Mytilus edulis: one gene and its partners. The protein of the gene in region 3 purifies or fractionates together with the protein of the main gene of each other region. This does not show direct contact. Links are inferred from orthologs where the notes say so. Each region holds a gene or a part of one and is shown on either strand. Other genes may lie near its edges.

Evidence for each region.
Region 1: the proteins of zinc finger-containing ubiquitin peptidase 1-like (region 3) and replication protein A 14 kDa subunit-like purify together in Homo sapiens (affinity purification with western blotting; 3 studies listed by BioGRID, with this or other methods). This does not show direct contact. The link is inferred for Mytilus edulis from reciprocal best matches to the Homo sapiens genes ZUP1 and RPA3.
Region 2: the proteins of zinc finger-containing ubiquitin peptidase 1-like (region 3) and E3 ubiquitin-protein ligase UBR5-like purify together in Homo sapiens (affinity purification with mass spectrometry, with the first as the bait; 3 studies listed by BioGRID). This does not show direct contact. The link is inferred for Mytilus edulis from reciprocal best matches to the Homo sapiens genes ZUP1 and UBR5.

What each region holds. Positions count from the first base shown.
Region 1 is NC_092351.1:62,143,861-62,151,899, reverse strand, and holds the start of replication protein A 14 kDa subunit-like, read right to left. Parts: upstream 3,093-8,039; 5' UTR 3,016-3,092; coding exon 2,929-3,015; intron 1-2,928. UniProt on the Homo sapiens protein: As part of the heterotrimeric replication protein A complex (RPA/RP-A), binds and stabilizes single-stranded DNA intermediates that form during DNA replication or upon DNA stress.
Region 2 is NC_092355.1:19,654,523-19,662,180, forward strand, and holds the start of E3 ubiquitin-protein ligase UBR5-like, read right to left. Parts: upstream 3,094-7,658; 5' UTR 2,973-3,093; coding exon 2,911-2,972; intron 1-2,910. Other genes in the region: sialin-like, read left to right, coding at 6,813-6,972, 7,641-7,658. UniProt on the Homo sapiens protein: E3 ubiquitin-protein ligase involved in different protein quality control pathways in the cytoplasm and nucleus. Mainly acts as a ubiquitin chain elongator that extends pre-ubiquitinated substrates.
Region 3 is NC_092353.1:22,636,581-22,644,315, forward strand, and holds the start of zinc finger-containing ubiquitin peptidase 1-like, read left to right. Parts: upstream 1-4,718; 5' UTR 4,719-4,866; intron 4,867-7,390; 5' UTR 7,391-7,393; coding exon 7,394-7,735. Other genes in the region: uncharacterized protein, read right to left, coding at 4,123-4,384. UniProt on the Homo sapiens protein: Deubiquitinase with endodeubiquitinase activity that specifically interacts with and cleaves 'Lys-63'-linked long polyubiquitin chains. Shows only weak activity against 'Lys-11' and 'Lys-48'-linked chains.

The DNA of each region.
Region 1 (8,039 bases), on a different chromosome or scaffold from region 3:
AAGAGCCCAGGTGGTCGTGTGGTCTAGCGGGATGGCTGCAGTGCAGGCGATTTGGTGTCACGATATCACAGTAGCATGGGTTCGAATCCCGGCGAGGGAAGAACCAAAAATTTGCGAAAGCAAATTTACAGATCTAACATTGTTGGGTTGATGTTTAGACGAGTTGTATAATTTCATTGTTATGGCTTCCTACGAAGACAGGAAATGAAAGGTCTACAAAAGAGGGGGGGCGGTGCCACAAGGTGCCACAAGAAGCCACACATCAATATCAACAGTCCCTACGTATATATGTATAAAGATACTAAGCTATTATTAATGGCAATGAGTTGTTTGTTTAACACTTCATTACAGAATACTTATCTTTATAAAAATCAAAAAAAACATGTGGTCAAGTTATATACTAAACTTCTAACTTGTATTCAAATTAAAGGAAATTGATGCTGTTAAAGTAACTAGTGTTTCCTGCAGCTTTTAAAAAGGGCAGGGTAATTGTTAGCTCAGAGGGCACATTAAGCGCGATGGACAACAATTTTAGGGCACTTAACATAAACAGGCAATTTCTATAAAATGGATTCATTTAAAACATACTAGTTTAATACTATAAAAAGGACATATACATCTGTAATCAATCATTAAAACAAATTGTTAAACAAGAAAAAGTGTTTAAAACATATATATATGAAATATTTAAAACAATAAACACAATTAAAAACAAAATCAGTTCTTTAAAAACAAGAAAGCACTATGTCATATACATGTATATAAAAATATTGCTTTGGTCATATCAATTGTCATTGACAAATCCTCCTTTTTTCCCCTAAAAACAGGTTGACACATTCCCTGATATCCAGGGTCATTTTTAGTAACCAAAATTTATTAAATTACAAAAAAAAATAACTTTACAAATTAACCCCTTTCCCTCTACACCCTTTTCCAAATTAAATTAATATAGATACAACAAGTTTTACTACTTTCATGGCACTACCATATCAGCTGTTTATTTCAAATGTCTATAAATAGCCAGATATAGTTGTCTGTTACTTAGGTGTTTTCCTAAGTATTTTTCCCGCCTAAAATGATCATGTGACATGTTTGTAAACAAAAGAAAACATTTGATCAAGGAATTCATTTATTTTCTGGATTATTCTGCTTTTTATAATTTAGTTTGGATTTTTATTCATTTCATTTAAGGTACAGTCAAGCATTTGTATTTAAAAAATAGTTTGCAAAGAATTTTTACTTTTCAATTTGACAAATGTCTCATGATCGCCGTTCATTGGCTTGTTCAACCATGCAAACAATGTAAATTATGTAAATTAGAAATCTATCAGCTTTAAAAAAAAATTATCTAAGCATCACATCGATGTTTTTTAATTAATCTTCTATGCAAAACGATGTTTCTGGGACTTGGGGGATACAATCAGGACCCGTGATTAGTGTCTGTATTCACTATTCAATCTATTGCAGTTTGCTAATCAGCTGATTACGAAATCGATTACAAAATGGCGACCTAGTGAACTTTTGTTTTGAAGGGAAATAACTCGAGCGGTATTCATAAAATATGTCTTTCAGTACCGGTTGTTAATTACGACGATAAGGCATGGCGTCAGGAATTTCGACAAAATTAGGGCAGGGCGCTAATTTTTTTTCCCAAAAAGGGCAGGGCGTTGAGAAATCGCGGCAGGGCGCCATTACACGCCAAAACCACCTGTAGGAAACACTAGTAACTCACATCTCTAAGAGATATAAAACAAAAATAATTACAACAAATCCTTAAAAACATGTATCAATCAGTATACAAGCATGTACATGTTCCATTTAAATGTTTTGCGATTTATATCTAAATTTCCAAAACTAGTTGTATAAAATGAATTAAAAAATGTCTATTTCCAAACAAATATCTATTGGGAATGTTTCCCAATATATTCATATATATGTGCGGCCTTATGACCCAGTGATATTGTTTGGCTCAAATAACAGCCGGAATTCGGCCTTTTCCCCTAGAGAAAATTCCCAATTACTGAAAAAAATGGCTTAAAATTCCTCCCAAAAAGTTTTACATTTTCCCCAAACAGTGATGGCATTGGTAGTAATGTTTGTAAATATCGTATTCATGTTATCATTTTGATATTAGAAAGCACTTTTGAGATCAGGTTTTCTGATCAGAATCATCATGGTGTTTGTAACACATGTAGTTTTCAATGCATTGTAAGTACCATCGTTGCTTCTGTTTCTTTCCCCTCTCCGAAAGTATCTTTCAGGTTGAAAATGTCTGACAACCAAAATATACATGAAAAAACAGTGCAAAAAGACAGCAAAGGTCAGGAAAAAATCGGAGATGTGTTCAGAATAAAATATACAAATTTCCCAATTTCAATAAAAAATATGCATTTTTCCCAATAAAAAACGGTAGAGGTAGTTTTGAAAAAAGACAACAATATCACTGTGACCATTTCGATAAAAAAATACAAATTAGGAATGTTTCTCCTGTTAATACATGTATGTATGTGCAGACCCTATGACTATTTCATGCAAAAAATATATATTGTGACTTTTTTTCCTGTGACCTTTTTTCCTGTGACTTTTTTTCCGTGACTTTTTTTCCTGTGACTTTTTTTCCTACATTCGAAATCAACTAGTAATGGAACATTTTTTTAAATTTTTTTTTATAAGTGGGGTCTATAAATCAATATGAGTATAAAAGGGGGAAATACATGTGGGAGTGACTGGAGGCCAATAATTGCCAGAATTCGCGAAATCTTTTTTCCCCTGGTGGTCCTTGAAGAAAATCTGCAGGTCCTCACTATAAGCTTTATTAAAAAATACTAAAATTGTGTCAGTCTACGCCAAATTTTGGTGGTGAAAATTATCCTGAGGACCACCACTTTTCGCGAAGTCTGAATAATAAATTTGCGTTTGTATCCTTACATTTTTTACTTTTCCTAAAAGACAAACGTTTCTGCCTCTGTGAGAAGGTAATTTTGAGGCATTTACACGTGGTTTTGAGAATTCCATTGTTGAATGATGAATCTTTCTTCTTCTATGATGACTATTTTCTTTGCAATCACCCGCGCAATTTTACACTGGTATCCTTTATTCTAAAACCTTTAGGTTGAGCAAAGCAAGAAATAAACTTTAAAAAGTAAGGCAACCAGAACAAAAATATCTTAGTAACACATGTGTTTGAAATAATTGGTATCATTTCGGTCCATACCAAGCTCGCCCGAAGCTTTATAATACGCCCATAGAAACTCGGACCATAACATATCAGGATACCAGGAACATGAAATGTATATTGATATTTACTGTTGTTTACATAACAAACTAAGCATACAACAGAATATTACCAGTAAGATGATGTATAGAACTAGAGGCTCTAAAGAGCCTGTGTCGCTCACCTTGGTCTCTGTGAATATTAAACAAAGGAAGCAGATGGATTCATGACAAAATTGTGTTTTGGTGATGGTAATGTGTTTGTACATCTTACTTTACTAAAAAGTCTTGCTGCTTACACTTATCTCTATCTATAATGAACTTGGCCCAGTAGTTTCAGTGGAAAATGTTAATAAAAATTTACAAATTTTATGAAAATTGTTAAAAATTGACTATAAAGGACAATAACTCCTTAGGAGGTCAATTGACCATTTCGGTCATGTTGACTTATTTGTAAATCTTACTTTGCTGAACATTATTGCTGTTTACAGTTTATCTCTATCTATAATAATATTCAAGATAATAACCAAAAACAGCCAAATTTCCTTAAAATTATCAATTCAGGGGCAGCAACCCAACCGTGAACGGGTTGTTTGATTCATCTGAAAATTTCAGGGCAGATAGATCTTGACCTGATAAATAATTTTACCCCATGTCAGATTTGCTCTAAATGCTTTGGTTTTTGAGTTATAAGCCAAAAACTGCATTTTACTCCATGTTCTATTTTTAGCCATGGCGGCCATCTTGGTTGGTTGGCCGGGTCACTGGACACATTTTTAAAACTAGATACCCCAATGATGATTGTGGCCAAGTTTGGTTTAATTTGGCCCAGTAGTTTCAGAGGAGAAGACTTTTGTAAAAGTTAATGACGACGGACGACGGACGCAAAGTGATGGAAAAAGCTCACTTGGCCCTTTGGGCCAGGTGAGGTAAAAAAGCAATTTTCAATCAACATAGAAATTTTCAATCAAAATAACAAATTTAGTAACAATTTAACAAATAAAAACTTTCGTCACTTTATCAGATAGATTATTTCATATTTTGCTATAGACTCACAGCCATGAACTTTGGAGAATATTTGTTTTACTCTTTATTCTTAAGATATGTCTGTTTTCTGTTTTTGTCACTATAATTTGACTAGAAGGTACTTTTAGTAACAATAACAATGCTGCATAGTATGATGATACTAACATTTGATGCTTTAATCTTTTATGGTAACTTATATTAGGTTACTGAAATTTGGTATTTATAGCTCTTTTCTGTTCTTCCTCATTGTTATCTTTCCGCCTGTTTTCTAAAAGGTGCCCATATTCAACTATCATAGTATAAATGTGTTCTCATTTATAATTTTATACTAAGATGAAGATTTTGGCATAAATATTCTAAAAAAGATTTAGAACATGTCTTAGTAGAGCGAATTCGGACGGAGTTAGATTTATTTACCTCTTTCACGTATATATATTAAGTGAAATGTTAGATTTTTATCTAATACTATGCATATTTCATTCTCTTCTGTGCATCTGTTTATGTCTTGACCTGGTGCAGAGTTATACTGTACCTGTGTCTCTCGAGTTTATACTTTATCAAAGTGCTTCATTTTCAGGGTAGAATTACGGGACCATGTATCACTTTAGTTTTCTGGTCAAGACCTTTATTTTCGATACATCATCGGTGGTCACTCTTGTCTCCTTTGGTCCTGATGATATTAATATCACCAGCAAATCACAGACGTTTGTGGAATGGACCCCTTTTTTATTTTTTATCTTTGGTTTTTAAATTGTATTTAAGAATTTGTTTTTCATGTAACTGTTTTAACTTATAATGACTTGTTTTACATATTTAAGGTGTTCAACGTCATTTCAATGCGATTTAACCCAAAAAAATCCCATTATCCTTATCTTCTTCTTTTTATGGCACCCTCAACGGAGTTGGGGTGACATATTGTTATTGTTCGTTTCTTTTTTTCTTATATTTATTCTTCCACACTTTTTTGTCCATGCTATTTCTCAGAATTGGCTTGAACAATATTGATAGAACTATACCATAATGAGGACCACTATATGAAATTGTGCAATCGGGGTATGGCATCATCAAGATGGCTGCCGTTGCCATGGAAACTGATAAAATGTAAAAAAAAAATGCAAATTCTAAATCTTTCATTATAAGACCTAGCTGGATGAAACTTTATGGTTATGTTGGCAGTGGTGCCCTGAGGTACCAACAGTACTTAGCTTCTGCAAAATGGCTGCCATTGCCATGGAAACTGGAGAAAAGTTTAACATTGACCTTATGGGAAAAAACATAAAAACAGCATTTTCTTAAGGAATATCAGACAAAACTCAAAGAAACATCATGAATATGTAACATTGCATAAGTCAATGTTGCAACTGTAACATTGCATAAGTCAATGTTGCAACTGTTGTTGGAATTTTCGAAATGGACACCGTTACCATGGAAACAGCAAAAATATCAAAAAAATTCAAAATGGTCCAAACTTAATGAAACTTATAATAGATGGTAACTGACAATTGGAGATAGGACTTTGGACCTCAGAATTTCCAAAATGGCCGTCGTTGCCATGGAAACTGCAAAACTGTAAAAAATTGAAAAATGGTCCAAATTTGATGAAAATTTACAGAGAAATACATTCTTATGTCTTAGTGTGCATTGACTGTTTAAACTTTCAAAAAGGCTGCAGTTTAGAGGCAATGTGGGAAGGGTGCCATCCGCTATTGCTTGCAATGGCAAATCTAGTTTATTACTGATATTGTATATAAATACTAAAAATAAAAAATGGGGGTCCACTCCACAAACGCCTGTGCAGCAAATAAGTAATCATCTAATTTAATACAATCTGGAAGGTCATTATTGCAAAAAAACAAATCACAGGGCGGGGGGGGGGGGGGGGGGGGGGGGGGGCTAATACTGCGTCTGGAGGTATTCCCGAAGTAACCTCCTTCCAGTCTGATGTTTCATAATTTACAATTTAACTATTCCCTGTCTAGATGTTAGAAAAAGTTTTCAAGCTTCTTAAGAGGAGAAGCAAAAGATACCAAAGGGACATTCAAATCCATAAGTCGAAAATAAGCTTACAACACCTTGTCTAAAAAAGATTAAAAAAAAAAAGCATACAAACAGAAAATCAAATCATAAAACTGCTTTTAAGTTTAAGAGTGCACATGCTAAAATGTCTCGCCTGTCTTTCTTATCAATGAATTTATGTTGAAAGTCTGTTACATGATGGTTTTATAGACTAGTATCACATAAACTTAACATTGACAATGTTCTATGATATTAAATGGGGTCAGATGAATCATGCCAGAGACAGACAGATATGTATGTATAATCATTAAATACACCAACTATAATCAAATACCATTCAACCATGCACGAAAATGAGGTCATGGTCAGATGATACCTGTCAGACATGCATACACTTTACAATGACCCATACAATTATAGCTGACCTATCGCGAAGAGTATTTGCAAAACCGACAAAACACCTAACATTGACCAATGAACCATACAAATGAGGTCAAGGACAATACAAGACATATATGACAGACGGAAACTTCGTAACATAAGGCATCTGCATACAAGGTACGAATCATCCAGGTCTTCTATAATAATACCTTTTGCAATATAAAGCTTTACTCAACTAGTTTGCCACCGCCGCCGGATAGCAATACCTATCTCTTGCATACTTTGACTTCGTCGCAGGCGAGACAAAAATTGTTAGATCTGTCTTCACATCATGACAACTTCCTAGATGACCATATGCCTATGTCGTTCTCTTCAATGTTTCTGCTGATGGCTTAATTAATCTTGTGTAAAGTTATTTTGTACATTCGTCTACAGTGGCGGATCCAGAAATTTTCATAAGTGGGGGCCCACTGACTGACCTAAGAGGGACCCGATCCAGTCACGCTTCAATGATTTACTATATAAGCAACCAATTTTTTTTCCCAAAAAGTGGGGGGGGGGGGGGGGCTCTGGTCTATCAGTGAATTTCGGTATCTTCCACTTTAATAAAGTGCTTACATTTTTCTTAATTGATGGAAATTAAAGAGCCATGTATCAGTTCAGTTTTCTGTTCTAGATCATAATATGCAACTTAGCATTGATTGTCACTCTATAGTTTATTATTATGATCCTTCCAATCTGATGTTTCACAATTTACTGATACTCTTTGTTGTCAAATTGATCTTATTTAAAATATAGATTTCTGATTTCTTTATACTCGTGTGTAGTATAACGAAATCAGAGATCTATATCTTAAATAGGTTGCATTCGTAAATCACTATTACCTACTCTTATACTTGAATTTTATACAGCTTCATATGGCTTTGAGATTTTTCTTTGAATTTTCGGATAAACCTTTTCTATTGTTTTCTTTAACCTATGTACTAAGAATGTTGTCATGTTTCATACTCTGTTGTATTCTGTTTTAATATTTATAATAATATAAAAATTAAAAAAAGCCTTTCAAGACGACATAAGTAGTTGGACTAGCTAGTGAAATTCAAATTCAAATTCAAATATCTTACTAGTAAGTTATTCCTAATTAAAGGGCCCATAAAGAGCATATACAACACAAATCACAGAGTTCATACAAAATCCACATAACAACACATGCAATCTAACATACTGATTGTTATTAGTTATATATGATTAGGAACAAATATGGAAACATGAAAATAAAAATATATGAAAATGATAGGAGAGATCCAGGAGCCTGAATAACTCTTTTTTTTTATCTGAGTTTTTGTCTCTTTTTTCCTGTCCAGAGGCGGATTTAGAGGGGGGGCAGAGGGCCTGCACCCCCC
Region 2 (7,658 bases), on a different chromosome or scaffold from region 3:
AATACTTTAAGGAATTTTAAACTTAACTGATTAAATATTTCAACATTTTGTAATGAAATGCTGCTGTATTTATTTAGCGTTGTGCTTCTGAGTTTGTCTAAAATTTTTATATCTTGACATTGTGTGTATATATCAGCCCTCAAAGTAGCCTCTAAAATGAAGTTGCCAACTGGCCACCAGACATGAAAATTTAGTGGCCAACTCAAACATAGTCAAAACTTCAGTGGCCAGGAAATAATTTCAAGTTGCCTACAATTTTTTCTATTTACACAAAAACAGGCTTGTAAATTAAAAGTATTACGTTTTTTTGCTGTCTAGTGTAGAAAATTGTTTGTATAAATCCACCGTAAAATAACCACATGATTTATTTAATTTTATATTTGTTGTACATGTTTTAAATCAGTCTGCGATGTTAACCAGTAGTTTGAAGCCCCAGACTAGTAAAAATCTCATCAGACTTGTGCAGAAGCACTTGTGATTGCCCCATCAGTCAAGTGAACATCTGAAATCGTTTTGTAGTTGTAGCCAGTATTTTATTGACTCTATAAGGACAAATTACAAAATTGTCGCCGACATTGTTTACATTAGTTTACTGACGAAATTAAGAACGAGGCTCTACCATGTGCTTTCAATTAACACAATCTATAAATTCCAAGGGTTTTCTTTCAAATGGTATGCAATAGTCAAACTTGTGACTGAGTGCGGAAATATGAAGATAGATAGATCTGTGCCATATTCAGTCGACAACAAATTGCTACCAAATGAACTACAATTACCTGATGCAATTAAGCGCTGACAAGATCAAGCTTAAATCTAAAAGGCTCTTGAAATATAGTATTCATTTGTGTTACTGTCTAGCGCTCAGACTATTTTTTAAAAAACCAGCTCTGATCAGGGCAAAATTTCCGAAAAATTTAAGGTCGCCAGATTTTCAATATTCTAATACTAAGCCTAAATGGTGACCAGTTATGAATTTTTTTTATCACCAATCAGCTTTTAAAGCCGCCCAGGCAACCATTTCAGTAGACTAAATTGAGGGCTGTACATGTAGTAAATACTACTGGTGGAAACATATGGGGACTAAGCAAAGCATAAATAAACAATTCCCACAAACATGACCATGATTACTTTTCCTTCTACTTTGTAGTGACAACCTTCAACACTTTGAATTTTATGTTACTCAGGCCTCTACAATAACTTTTTTTTCAACTTGTCCAGTAGGACAAGTACATACCAAAACTTTTACTTGTCCGAATGAAATTGTAACTTGTCCAAAAAAAAATCTTAATATTAAATAACCTTTTTTGCATTTCAAGTTGATTCAAGGAACAAAATGAATTAAAAAAAAATTGAACAGAATTTGATTTTTATCCTTTGAAATACTTTTAAAAGATATGAGCCATGAACAACTGAATTTAGGTGTGTCACACGACTTAGGTTCTAGCTTTTATCAATGCTAAAGTCTCATCATACTTTGCACATGAGGCACCATCTGATTGGCCTCTAAATGTACACTCATTGGATTTTTATCCTATTTTTTTAAAAGTTGAAAAAAGTTTATTCAAATGCAATCAATAAAAAGAATTTGAGGTATGATTGTCAATGAGACAAAAGACCAAATGACACAGAAATTAACAACTATAGGTCACTGCATTGCAAGTATTGTTTTTTCTACATAAAGATCAAACATGATTTGATGATTTTTATGGTAAATAATAAATTTCCTCATTCTTATTTAAAAAATACGGTATGGACATTGGTATATATTATTATAAAGCAACAAAATAAGGTAGGAAAAGAGGTTCTGATTTGTCTTGGTCCAGAAATGTCTACTGCCTCGCCAAACTGTCTATTAATCATGTCTATGAAATATGTCTCCTACCGTACCCAACTGTCTATTAAACTTGGAGCCGAATCATTTCAGAGCTGGTGACGAACTGTTTTTTAAAGTTACCTTATCTCTGTATCTAAAAAGCGCATGGTTGAATGGGATGGTAAGACTGGTTTCCGAGAAAAGTGTGCTTTTTACCTGTTAAAAGTACTTGACAAAGAACCAGTTTTAAATTATCGATTGCAAGTCTGAGTCTTGAGAAATAGAAAGTTTCAATTAGTTTCAGTTTAAAAAGGAAAGATGTCAAACAAATCTTCTTTTCTTGTTTTTTTTGTTAATAATTATACTTTGTTCATCAAAGTTGATTTATTTTCTGCAGAATGATTCTACTTGTCCCATCGGACAAGCTTGGTATAGCTTTTACTTGTCCGACCTTTTTTACCTCTGGTACCGGACAATTGGCATGCATTATTGTCGAGGCCTGTTACTTGAAATTGATTGAATAAGCATAATTGGTAAATTGCCAAATTTATTTACACAAATTAAACCATATTTAGTTTGAAATCAATTCAGCAGTATGAAGTATGAAATAATTGGGATAATTTGCAAGAAAAAAAATAAATAAAAAAATTGGAGCTCTGACATAAAATTTAAAAACTAAAAAAGACAAAGAACAATGATGAAAGAATTCCAGAAGTCATGGTGATGAGAAACAGCTTATGTCAGGTTCAAATATTGATTTCATTTTTGTTGTTGCTTTTTGTATAAATTTTTAACCATTTATTTGAGAAATATATTAAAATTCTTCATGTCTACAAAAAGAGCATATACATGTAGGTCACATTTGTCACATCAGCCCAATCATAAACGATTAATACATTTAATGAAACAAAACATTTGGCTTGTGTTAAATAATTTCAGGGCACATAAGGCATTAATCTAACAGTTGCAATTGATTTCGATGCGTAATTTACAGTGACGTCAGAATACCGTAACGCGATAAAGAGCACGTTTATTAAATATTTGATCGTTTCTTTTATCTCGAAGTACCACAGCCCAAGTACGAATAAATCAATTACCTATCGTTCAACTGGTCATCTGTTCCAGGTAAAGGATGGACTATACAATGAATGGATGTCATCACGTATTAAAAATATAAATTATTATCTTTTTACTGGAAATTTTATGAAATTTATTCCGATTTTAAAAGTTAATTGATCTTCGCCATCTTTGAAGAAATTTCCATAAGTCAATTGTTACCTGAAATACGATTGGTTAAAACATATTTACTGTCATTGGTTCCGATTGGGTAGTATTTTTATAGTTTTTCGGCATTCAAACTTTCGGATTTGTACTTAATACTAGGGCTGAAAGTTAGAGGTTATTCCGATAACATTGTAAGTAACAGGTGCTTTCAGTTTCAGTTTACTGCATATTATTTCATAACTCATGTTACATATGTTTTTTGTTATTTACAAACAAATCATAACACAGGGACCTGATTAACATTTTCAAATTCCACTTCTTTTCTTCAAATGAAAAAAATCTTGCAAGAAAGTTGATAAATAGTGGACATATGCTGTTGTTGTTCGTCATTAAGGTTCATCATAACAAACAAACAAATATGGCTGTATTTACATGCCAAAAATTACTCTGAGTACAGACTTACCTGTGAAGTTGGAAAAGTTTTAATGCCTGGCATCCACTAGATATAATAAAGTTAAATGCATTTTGTGTTTCAGAAAGATAAAATCTCTTTTGGATTTTGATGGGCATTTTTTTTCCTTCATGCAAAAGGTGTGAAAATTAACTAAGTTGTAGTACAACTATGAGATGCTCCCTCAGGTAAAAAAACCGGTTTGTATTGTTTGATTGTCCTTAATTGACATGGACTAGAGGTATCTTCACAACTATAGGTGAGTTAAAGAGTTTATCTGAGTCAGTCAGTGGACAGTATCAAAGTAATTCAGGTGTTTGTTTATTTTTACACCTTCTGCAGAAAGGAAAAAAAATGCCCATCAAAAACCAAGAAAGATTTTATCTTTCCTAAACACAAAATGCATTTAAGTTTTATATATCTAGTGGATGCTAGGCATTAAATCTTTCCAAACAGCACAGGTAAGTCTGTACACAGAGAAGTTTTTGAGGTGAAAATTCGGCCATATTTGTCCATTTGTTATGATGAACCTTAACATAATTTATAGACATGTCAAGCTGTCAAATGGTAAATCTGGCTAGATAAGTCTAACATACGTTTTTGTTTGACTGAAGAATTTGAATTTGAATTTCCATCGAATGCAGATCAGAAGAATAAATTCTGCATTGCAGAGAGTTGAGATCTGATTTTCAGAAGATACATGTTCATGATATAGTAGAAATACAATTTCAATAGGATATCTGTCTAATTGTATTGAGCTGCACATATTCCAGAATAAGCGTAACAATCTGGAGGAGATTATATACTGGGTACATAATCTTCATGTAGTTTCTATTGGAGGTTGTATTTTAAAAGCTGCATTTCTTTATTTGACATTTCTGACTGGCATGGGCATGATAGGGTATACATTAAAATCATCCTGAATATGCATAAAATATTTGCCACTGTATGTAAAGCAACAAACAATTAATCAATCAGTCTTTAAAATGTAATTTCTGATATGTTCAGCAGTTGCAAATAATCATCATGATCATGCTTACAGACTATAAAGTCTTATATACAGAATATACAGTCTTAGATGACTAATGATTACAATTTTTGTGAATGACTATACTTCAGGCATCATACCCTTTGTATGGGTAAATGATAAATAGAAAATTAAGTTTGTGTTGAAGCTTGGGGAAGATTCAGGATTTTTAAAGGAGAGGTTGAATAACAAAATTAGTTATATAAAATTAACCCAAACCTCAAATGTTTTTGATGATAATTCTTTATTAAAGTGTCGTATATATTGGCAGCTTTATTAGCTTGAGTCCATTGTTATCCTGTCCAATCATGGGTGTTTTTCTCAAAACAAAAAAATTTAAATTTGTATTCTAAGTAATGAAAAAGTGTCTGAAGGCTGGAATTAACATTGATATAAAAAAGTAAGAAGATATGGTATGATTACCAATGATTCTACTCTAAACATGAGTCCAATTGACACAGAAATTAACAACTAAATGACTCTCTACAACCTTCAAAAATTAGCAAAGCCCATACCACACAGTCAGAATAAACATGATAAAATAATTCACTCATGTCTAATTTATGTCATGTATGTACATGTAGGGAATAATGAATGAAAAACAAATGTGCTACACAGCAACAAATTCAACCATTGAGTTTCAGGCTCCTGACTTGAGACAGGCACACACTGGTTAATATAGTCTGATGGTTTGCTAGTCTATTTGCCAATAACTATAATTGATCCTGTAGTTAGAGATTAACTTTAGGAGGTAAATTCATTTTTAATGACAATGGGAAACTAGCCAATACCAATATCTTTATTCTCATAATCATTGCAGGGGGTCTCTTTGGGGGTTCCGATCCCGGATCCCGCTTACCGTTTTGTCCGATTCCTGTATCCAGCTTACACTATGTACGTAAGCAATTCTCATTTTTTTGTCATTTCCCGAGTCCTGCTAGACCTCATTTACCGTTTTCACGACACAATAATTTGACTTTCATGTGTCACGCTTACAAAAAATTGGCAATCCCGCGTCACGCTTAGACCCCAATGAGACCCACATTGCAGATACTTAGGTACAAAGAGGTAGCAAAAAGTTTATATTTAAATATAGAAATATAACTATATATATGTAATAACACATTAGGTCTCATACCCAGGGATGATTCCAGGTGTTTTCAAATGGGTCCCTTGAACATCAAATTGGGAATTTTTATTCTAATTGGGAATTTTTTAAGCATAAAATCTAAGACGAAATAACATTATTTTCCTGAAAAACAGAAAATGTATATTATTAAGTTTAACCTGTACACTGATGTTCATGTAAGTTGTAACATTTTTAATAATTCTGGTTGGGCTACTGTCACATGACTGTTATTACATAAATATCATTGAACATGATGCACTAGTCTATCATCTTAGCTATAGTTACCTAGGCCTATTACAAAAACATATATTTCAGCTAACATAAACCACTGAAAAAAATCATTCATCAGGTATTTTTTCAACAACAGGTCATCTCTATAAATTTACCTTAATTCAAATGGATTTCAAATTGAACTGGTCAATTGTCGAATTCAGAAAAGCAATTACAAAAGTTCATATACTTAATTGATAAGATATTTAAAGCATTGAACCAGTGTTCTTTAAAATTATTTGGATCATCTTCAAAACTTTTGAAATAGTTCAATAATGATGACATCATATTTCATGAATATTCTATCATCAACATTATTTTCAAAAAACGCTCAAACTGTGGTCTTTTGAGGAAATAATTTCTGTTACAAAACAAGTTTTCATCATATTATATAACCGGCTCTGCTGGGTGAACTGCTTTTACAAGATCGGCGTCCATTTAACCTTATCCATCAATGTTATATCAAAATTTGAATTTGCTCTCTGCCGAGGTCTGCTTTGACACCAATTTTTATCAACCTGCTGGGCGATCTGCTTTTACAAGATCCAAAAGTCCCATAACATATTAATCAATTGTATTCGGCTGCTAAAATTGTTTCCCACATGTTGACATACATGTAATTAAATCGTTGTTACTAAGATGCGATCGTAAACAGCATTCTTATCCGGATTTTAAAATGTTTTGACAACAAACTATATATAAAAAATTATAGTTGCCTTAATTGGTGACAGAAACTTTTCCTGAAATATCGATTTTTATTTTACTTTCCTGAATTGGGAATTCATTTTCATGTACATTTTTTTGGGGCCGCTAAGCCGCCCTAAACAATATAGTGGAATCATCCCTGATACCCAATCAAGATATTAAGCAATAACATGTATTGTCGTTTTACAGAAGTATGGAAAGTCATGATGGAAACCTTAGAAGTGACAGTTCATCAGAGAAAAGATCAATTCTACCTCCTGCAGAAGAAAGTCATGATGTCTGTCCAAGGCAATGGGCTTTGTCAAGGTTTCCAAAGAGATATATTGTGGCAATAATGGCATTCCTGGGCTTTTGTGAGTTAAATGTTGTAGTTAGATATGTTTTTATGCCCCTGCTATAGTGGAGGGGCATTAAGATTTACCCTTGTCCGTTTAAGCTTCTGTCCGTAGGTTCCAACGTTGGTTTCTGTTCTCTAACTTTTGTTTGCCTTAACCAAATGTTATATAAATTATACACAATGATTATTACTATTACAGACAGAATAAGTTCGAAATTTGAACTTTAACCTTTTTAGAGTTATGCCCCTTTTAATTTTAGGTAGTGACTGTACATTGTTTTAATATTATACATAGTGATGGTACAAACATGTATGTAATTTTGAAAAGTTTAAGCAAATGGTTTCTGCTTTATTTATTATTTATTAATTACTATAGCTACATGTACTTGTTTTAGCTTTCAGCAACAGATATTTCTTAATATTCATTCATGTCTATAAAAACAATGTGTCTTGAAAAAATATGCTTATGTTTCACAAATAACATAAAACATCCATAGACTGATTCATGTGTAATGGCATGGATTGCTCCCAGGCAAAAAATACTCTTTTATCAGTATGTTAATTTATATCTGAACATCTTATTTTCATAGATCATGTAATACATATATACCGGTGATAAAAGTAATCAAAACTATAAGGAAAGAAAATGCAGAACAATAATTTTACATTTATGTTTCATTCTAGGCAACATATATTCCCTAA
Region 3 (7,735 bases):
GTTTTCAGAAAATAAGAAAAAATCAAGCCTAGCTTGTTTGAAAGGTGATTTTTTTCTCCAAGTGTATCTACACAAGTCAGGAAAAAGTTCCCTATAGGGGTCAACTAGAGATCTATCGTCAATCAATTCTAATAGTTTGTCTCTAGCATTAGGATTATTTATGTGTAAATAATTATAACAATCTAAATTTGGATTTAACACAAGATTAAAATCTCCACAGATAATAAAACACTCATTTTCAAAATCATCAATAATTGACATAATATGCTCATAAAAAAATGGACTGTCAGTATTTGGGCCATATATAGTTATGAGAGTAAAACGAACTTTATCTACAACCAAATCCAAAGCTAAGTAGTTTCCATCAATGTCCCTTTTTTCTTTAAGGACTTTCCACTCAAAATTATTTTTAAACATAATAGCTACACCTCTTGAATTTGAAGAAAAGGATGAAAAGTAGCATTCATATCCCCATAACGTTCTTATACTATTTTCTTTATCCACTGTGAAATGAGTGTCTTGAAGACAATAAATGTTATGGTTTCCAGATTTTAGAAAACTAAATACATCCCTCCTTTTAGATAAATCACCCAGACCCTGACAGTTAACAGACAGTATCTTTAAAGAGCCCATAATGGTTTGAAATATGTGTACATCATCATTTCATATAGGCATGCATTTTTACATATGATCATCCATATTATACATTCACATGAGACACAAAGACATATACGCAAAGATTTGCTCAAAACATCTAGATATGGTGGTATAAAAATTCTCAACATACATGTATTACCAAGCCTCGTACATAGACCAACAGTGAAATTCAATACTTTACAGACATTCAATTCATAGAAAAAAATAAAATTAACAGACAAAAAAAGTGTTAAAAAAAATAAATATTTCAATATGTTTTGCCACATTGTAGTTGGGATTTGTCAGTTTATGCAGTTTGCCTTATATGACACCAACAAAATAATAGTTCAACAAAAATTAAGATTATCTGTACAAAAAAAAAAAAAAAATTAACATCAATATGTATTGTAGAAAGAAAATCAATACTATACATGATCTATAGTTAAAAGAGAGATAACTCCGATTTTTTTATACAAAGAAAGGGAGATAAGCACAAATATTAAGTCAAATATTAACAATGAACTATAGAATTCTCAAAACTGTCCGTGAGGTCTAAGTTCTTATTACGTAACATCTATTTCCCTTGCTGTACTCTGTAATGAATGTCATCATATAGTCCAAATTTCAGCTGAAGTCCTGCAGGTGTTCTACCATAAATTCCACAATTAAAGTACCAGACAGATTCAAACTCGTCAGTTTTTCTAAGTCTCTCAATTAAACTCATGTTTCTTTGAGTAACGTCATCCACAAATCTAATTTTACTGGTCAATTCTTTCCTACATCTCATAATTTGGCGCTTAACATCACTACTGAATAGCTTGACAATAACTGGATAGGGCCCAGCCTTTTGGGATGGTATACGATGGATTGCAACCACATCTCTGTCTTCTAATTGGACATTTAGTTCTTTTTTCACAGTTTCCATAAAGTCCTTTCTAAGATCTTGTTTATCCTTTCTTGGAAAATTTATTATTTTAATGTTATTTTTTCTCGAGTACTGCTCGTTATAATTGCTGCTTATATCAGCCTGTCTTGAAAGTCGACTTGTTTCGTTTAAGTCTCTTCTAATTGTTGTATTGGAATACTGTATAGCTTGTATCTTATTTTTCAGGTCTTCATTTTCTATAGTTAAAGCATCAAATTTTTCCTGCATTTCATTTTTAACTTCTTCCACTTTTTCATCAATCTTCTTTTGTACAGTTATTTCAAATTCATTCATCAGCTTTTTGACAATTAAAGTAACCACTTGCTCAAGATCACTAGTTTTAATCAGATCTTTTGTTACTCTATCAAGGTCCTCTCTCCTTGTCACACCTTCAAGTTTGATTTTAATTTCATCAATATCCTTTTGAAAGTTCATTATGCCAGATAAGTCTAAACTATTGTTTGATTCGTTAGATACGTCTGAATGAGTTCGTTTACTAGGTGGTGGTTTATTCTTATCTACTTTTGCTGCAAGCAATGTCTGAACAGTATTCACAGGTTTAGTAGTAGGTCTTTTGTTTGTTGATTTTAAACCAGCTAAATTTTGCCCTGAAGACATACTGTACATATATTGTCACCTCTAGTAGTAGAAATCAATAATCAAATATCAAAATAGATCCTTCTGGAAAAAATCTTTCACAAGTCACAAAATTATTCCTGTTGAAAATATTCCACAAAAATTATATCATTCTAATCTCCATTGAATTAGCTATCACATAGTACTAAATTCACAGACAGTGTCTTCCTAAATTTGTCATAAAGCTGCAAAAACTGGGAGCTAACTTTCTAAGGTGTTAACTGCTCGGCAGCCATATTGATCTCTGTGTGTTTTCCTATTGTTGACGAGGTAGTATGTCGGAATTTCTGTGGGTACTTGGTGGTACAGTATTTTATGAAATAGTATCAAGCGATTTGCTGTTCTTCTCGTTTCAAGAGTCTGCCAATTCAAAGATCGTATAATTGCGGTCATAGAGCCGGGTTGGTAGTTGTAGTTCTTAGTTACAAATCTTGCCGCCCTGTGTTGTACCATTTCTATCCGTTTGATGTCCTTCTTCCAATGTGGGTCCCATACTGAGCTACTGTATTCTAGATGTGGTCTTACCAAAGCAATGTAAGCATGTTGTTTAATTTCTTGAGGGCATCTATATAAATTTCTTCTGACAAAGTTCAGTTGTTGTGAAGCTTTGTTAATTTTAGAGGTAATGTGATGGTTCCAATTGAGCTTGCTGTCCAGCTCCACCCCTAGATATGGGTTATGTTCTTTTAGTTCCAGCTTAGTGGAATGTAAGAAGTATGGTCTTAGAATTCTATTACGGATGTTATGTGTTGTCTGTAGAACGTAGCATTTCTTTGGATTAAATGACATTTTCCAATCAATAGACCACTTTTCTAATTCAGTTAGGTCTTTCTGTAATATTTCTGTATCATTATTGGTTTTGATGTCTCTATATAATAAGCAATCATCTGCAAATAGTCTTATGCTGGTACCAGTTGTTAAATTATCCCCAATGTCATTGATGTATAGGAGAAATAGAAGCGGACCTAATACGGTGCCTTGTGGAACTCCGGATCGTACGGTTGCAGGTTGTGATTTACAGCCATCCAGGAGTACTGTCTGTTTTCTATTTTGAAGCCAGTTATCTATCCAATTTACTGTGTACTTGTCAATACCCTTGTTCCTTAGTTGGTGTACAAGATGGCGATGTGGCACGGTATCGAAGGCCTTACTGAAGTCCAGTATCAGTATATCTGCTTGGCTTTTATTATCTCTTATTCTAGCTAGATCTTCTGTGGTGTTTATAAGCTGTTGTTCGCACGAGTGGTTTTTCCTGAATCCATACTGGTATGGTGACAGGAGTTTGTTGTTATCCAGGTAGTTCATAATGCTACTAAAGATGATGTGCTCCATAATTTTACACGGGACAGATGTAAGAGAGACAGGACGGTAGTTTGCTGGATCTGTTTTATCGCCCTTTTTAAAAATCGGGATAACATTACCGATGAGCCAGTCTGTTGGTACTGTTAATACTCATGCCACATCTTCTTAAATCTATAATACAATGAATAGTGAAATCTTCTTCACTAACACAATTTTGTAAACGGCTCACCACTTGTCTTAGACTATTAATATTGTTGTAAGTGTAGAATTGTAAAGTCACATTTATACACTTAGCGGCCACTTAGCCAATACATAACAGTCTTACAGCTGGGCCCGGCCTTAAGCATACATCAAACAGGTTTAAAAGTTTATTCAAACAATATCAGCAATGTCTGCGTGTACCCGCATGCTGGTACGTATTGTCAAATTGCCATTCATAGGCTACACGTACCCACATCTGTTTTATAATAGAATGAAACGTGAAATATATATGCAAATTGTCGATCCGATGGCATTCTATTATAAAACCGAATGTGGGTACACATAGCCTAAGAATAGCAATTTGACTTTTTGCATACGCACATGGGTACATGCAGACACTGCCAACAATATTTTATTCTTACTCTCCATTTCTTGAGCACCCTGAAGGAGTTCCTTTACATTTACTCTTTCGCCTGTGTTAGAAGAGGTGTCATTGTCAGCCTCAGTTTTACTGTTTTCTTCCTGACTAGAACCTCCAGTATCCTTAGAATAGTCTCTGGTGTAACTTATTTGGGGATCACTGAAATATAGAACTGGACATATCTTTTTCAATCTTGAACTTGGTTTGATCAGCCTTCGTAACGCCTGTGAATGGGCGTAGATACGTAGTGGAAAGCTTTGCATTCTATGTTAAAAATTATAATGACACAAAAATCATATCAGTTCTTTAAACCATATAGTTCTTGGACTTTTAAACTTGAAGTGAACTTGACCAGCTGCACAATCCAAAAATCAAAACAAATGGGTAACATCCATGTCGGGTCCGGAACTAAATTCCGGAAAATATAAGGTAAAGTGTAGATAATTTTGTGATGTAATTTTAAAATTCAGAAGAGTTTTTAATGTATTATTTTCTTTTATTAAAAGACAACTAAAATAGTTTCATTTAACAATTTCTTTTGTTATCTGTAATCATCAAATAAGTAAGCAGGGTGTTTTTAATATACGCATTAAAATCAACACTTTCTTGTACCACTATGAATAAATTGACAGAAATTTTCTTACACAATCTGTGAATTTACTTTCATTTTCTCATTTACTCTAAACAATTTACACCATAATCTATATTGACTGTAAAGAAAGAGGAACACTGAAATAATTTAAAGGTATAACAAGGTCCATTTAAAAAATGGAAATTGGTTGAATCAGGGATAAATTCTTTTAATATTTTCTTCATTTATCAACATTGTCATATGCTAGAACTTAAACAAAATATTTTATTCCATTGCATGTTGATTTTGATAGCGAAATCAACATTTGATTGGTTGAAACTCTCACACGTGACATCGAACAAAACATCATATTCCCCTGTGAGTATCTAATTCGGAAATTTATTATTATTATCCCCTCCGAGTATCATATATTCCCCTCTGAACGTCCAGATTGCCTTGTGCGACGTTACCCACGGTTAATGTTTTAATAAAATATTTTGATAGGGTTTATTTTAAAAATTATTTCAATCTAAAAGCAAATAGAAAAGAATAAACAATTAATTAACTTTAAATAGGTACTGATTATCATTTTGTATGTTGTGTTTATAGTTCTAAAACAAAACGAATAAGAAAACAATTATGTAAATTTATGTATAAGTAAAAAAAAAAGTATAGGCAGTGGAATAAAACATTCATTTCCCTTGGTATGATATTTCTTGGGTGAACAAATCTTCATATTTCCCTCAGGCACGGGAAATAAATGTATAATGTTGGGTCTAGTCCAAATAATTATGACGTCCTGAGGCCACAATTAAAATTATTTTGGTTTGCCCAAACCCTACCCAAAGGTTGAGACAGTGGGTAGGTAGGTAGGCATTTTCTTTTTTTTTTCAAATAGAGAAATTGAAGTATCTGGTTTTTATTAGTCTTCATGCCTATCTGATTAAAAAAAAAAACTTCTTCAAATCAGGACAATAAAAGAATTTGAGTAGGCAGCTTTTTTCTGGGTAGGTAGCGTTTGGGCAAACAAACCTATTCTTTTTTATGGCCTGAGAGGCTATTATATTTTATTGCTAAGTCGTCTTACAGCATGTACAGCAACATCAAATAAAAAAAATAATAATAGGTTAGCCCTTTCAAGACATTATTATAAGGCACTGGCTACGTGGTTACTTGGAAATGTAACAATAATGAAAAATATTATTGTAACATTGGAGACTAATTGCCAAAATACAGGTTTGGGTAAGGATCCGATTAATTACGGCAATTAGTCTCTAATGTAACAATAATATTTTTATTATTGTCACCATGGTTACATTTCCAGGTAACCGTAGCCAGTGCCTTATAATAATTTGTACTAGTAGTAGTACCAATCATATCATACAATAATAAATCATGTAAATATCAAAGTATCAAAAGTCACAGACTATAGGGATACAGTACGTGCTATACTGACGCCACAAATATCATGAAATTATCATGAACATGATGAATATGAACTACATGATTGTTCAATAATGTCGAAAGTTCAAGTGTCGCAAATTCTCAGGTCAGGTGTCACAGATTCCTAAATAGTCAGGTGTCACAGATTCCTAAATAGCAAAAAGGTCTTTTACAAATGATAAAGTCATCATGGGCTTCTCTGTAATTTTTGCACTTTCCCTTTCATGTTTTATGTCACAATGTTTTATATGTCATGTGTACATGTATATGTTAGTCTACGTATAATCTGATAATGTCACAATAAGAACTGATTGTTCAATGACATCATTTACATCAATTGATCTCATAATAATTCCTCATTTGGAAGACTAATTTTATTTGTGTAACATTGCAGAAAGCACAAAATCAGGTACATGTACATGTATACCAGTATCATCACTCAGACACAGCAGATTTCACTGTAGCCTTTAATGCTCAATTCTGCTGCTCCACATAAACAACTGTTATAATAGTCATGAAGTAAAGGTTATGACCTAGTGATGCTTACATTTGCAGATAATGTTGTTCTTTTCATTGTTTTCATCATCTGGAAATGCTATAGATCACAAGTTTAATTGTTATTTTAGCATGCAAAAGCTTTAGAATTATTGACCACCATTCAGTGGAGGATCCAGAACTTTTTATAAGGGGGGCCCACTCCAGTCAAGCTTCGGCTTTTACCTATATATAATTAAACAAATTTTTCCCACAAAGGGAGGGGGCCTTGGACCCGTAAGGCCCTCTGGATCTGCCTGTAATATCTGTGATTATACTCATAAACCTTTGGGACATTGATGTATTACGTAATGTCACTACATTGATGCCAGTTGTATTTTGTTAGTCATTATTAAAAAAACATCTGAATAATCAAGTCTTGCTTAGATCTTTCAATGGCGGTGAGAATGGGTGAAATTTTACCCCATGCATATACCTTAAGAATTGCTATAGGTGAAAAACAATCCCACAGTTCAGTTACATGTTCATGATGTACATGATATAGTTGTACATGTTGTAAAGTGTTATACAGATTAAAAGTTACTAATTTTAAACTATGTTTTTGATATTTTGACATGTTTGATACTGAAATGACTAGAAAAATTTTATTCATAGTCTTAGAATTAGTTTGTTCAATTCATTTGATATGAGATAACTAGTGCATGTAGTGAGGAATAAGTATTTCATAAGTTTGTTAATTTTGGATATTTTTTTTTTGCAGATAATGGCTGAAGGTGGGAAAAGCAATGATGACTATGATACCTTTACCTGTTTAATTTGTGGTCAGAATGGTTTCACAGAACCTCAGATGAGAGAACATGTTATGATGGAGCATGTTGAACAAGAAGTATATTGTCCATTTTGTGATTTGGGAGGGATCACGGCCAATGAAATGAATCTACATATCAATAAAGCTCATTTAGACGAATGTTTTAGTCCTGATGGTGCTAGTGGGACAGATTTTGAATTTCAGGAGGGGACTAGTGATAGCGGTTGTTGTAGTCCGATAGAAAAAGATGTAAAAAAACCAACGAATGGTATTTTAGGTTCAATGGATTGCTCAACA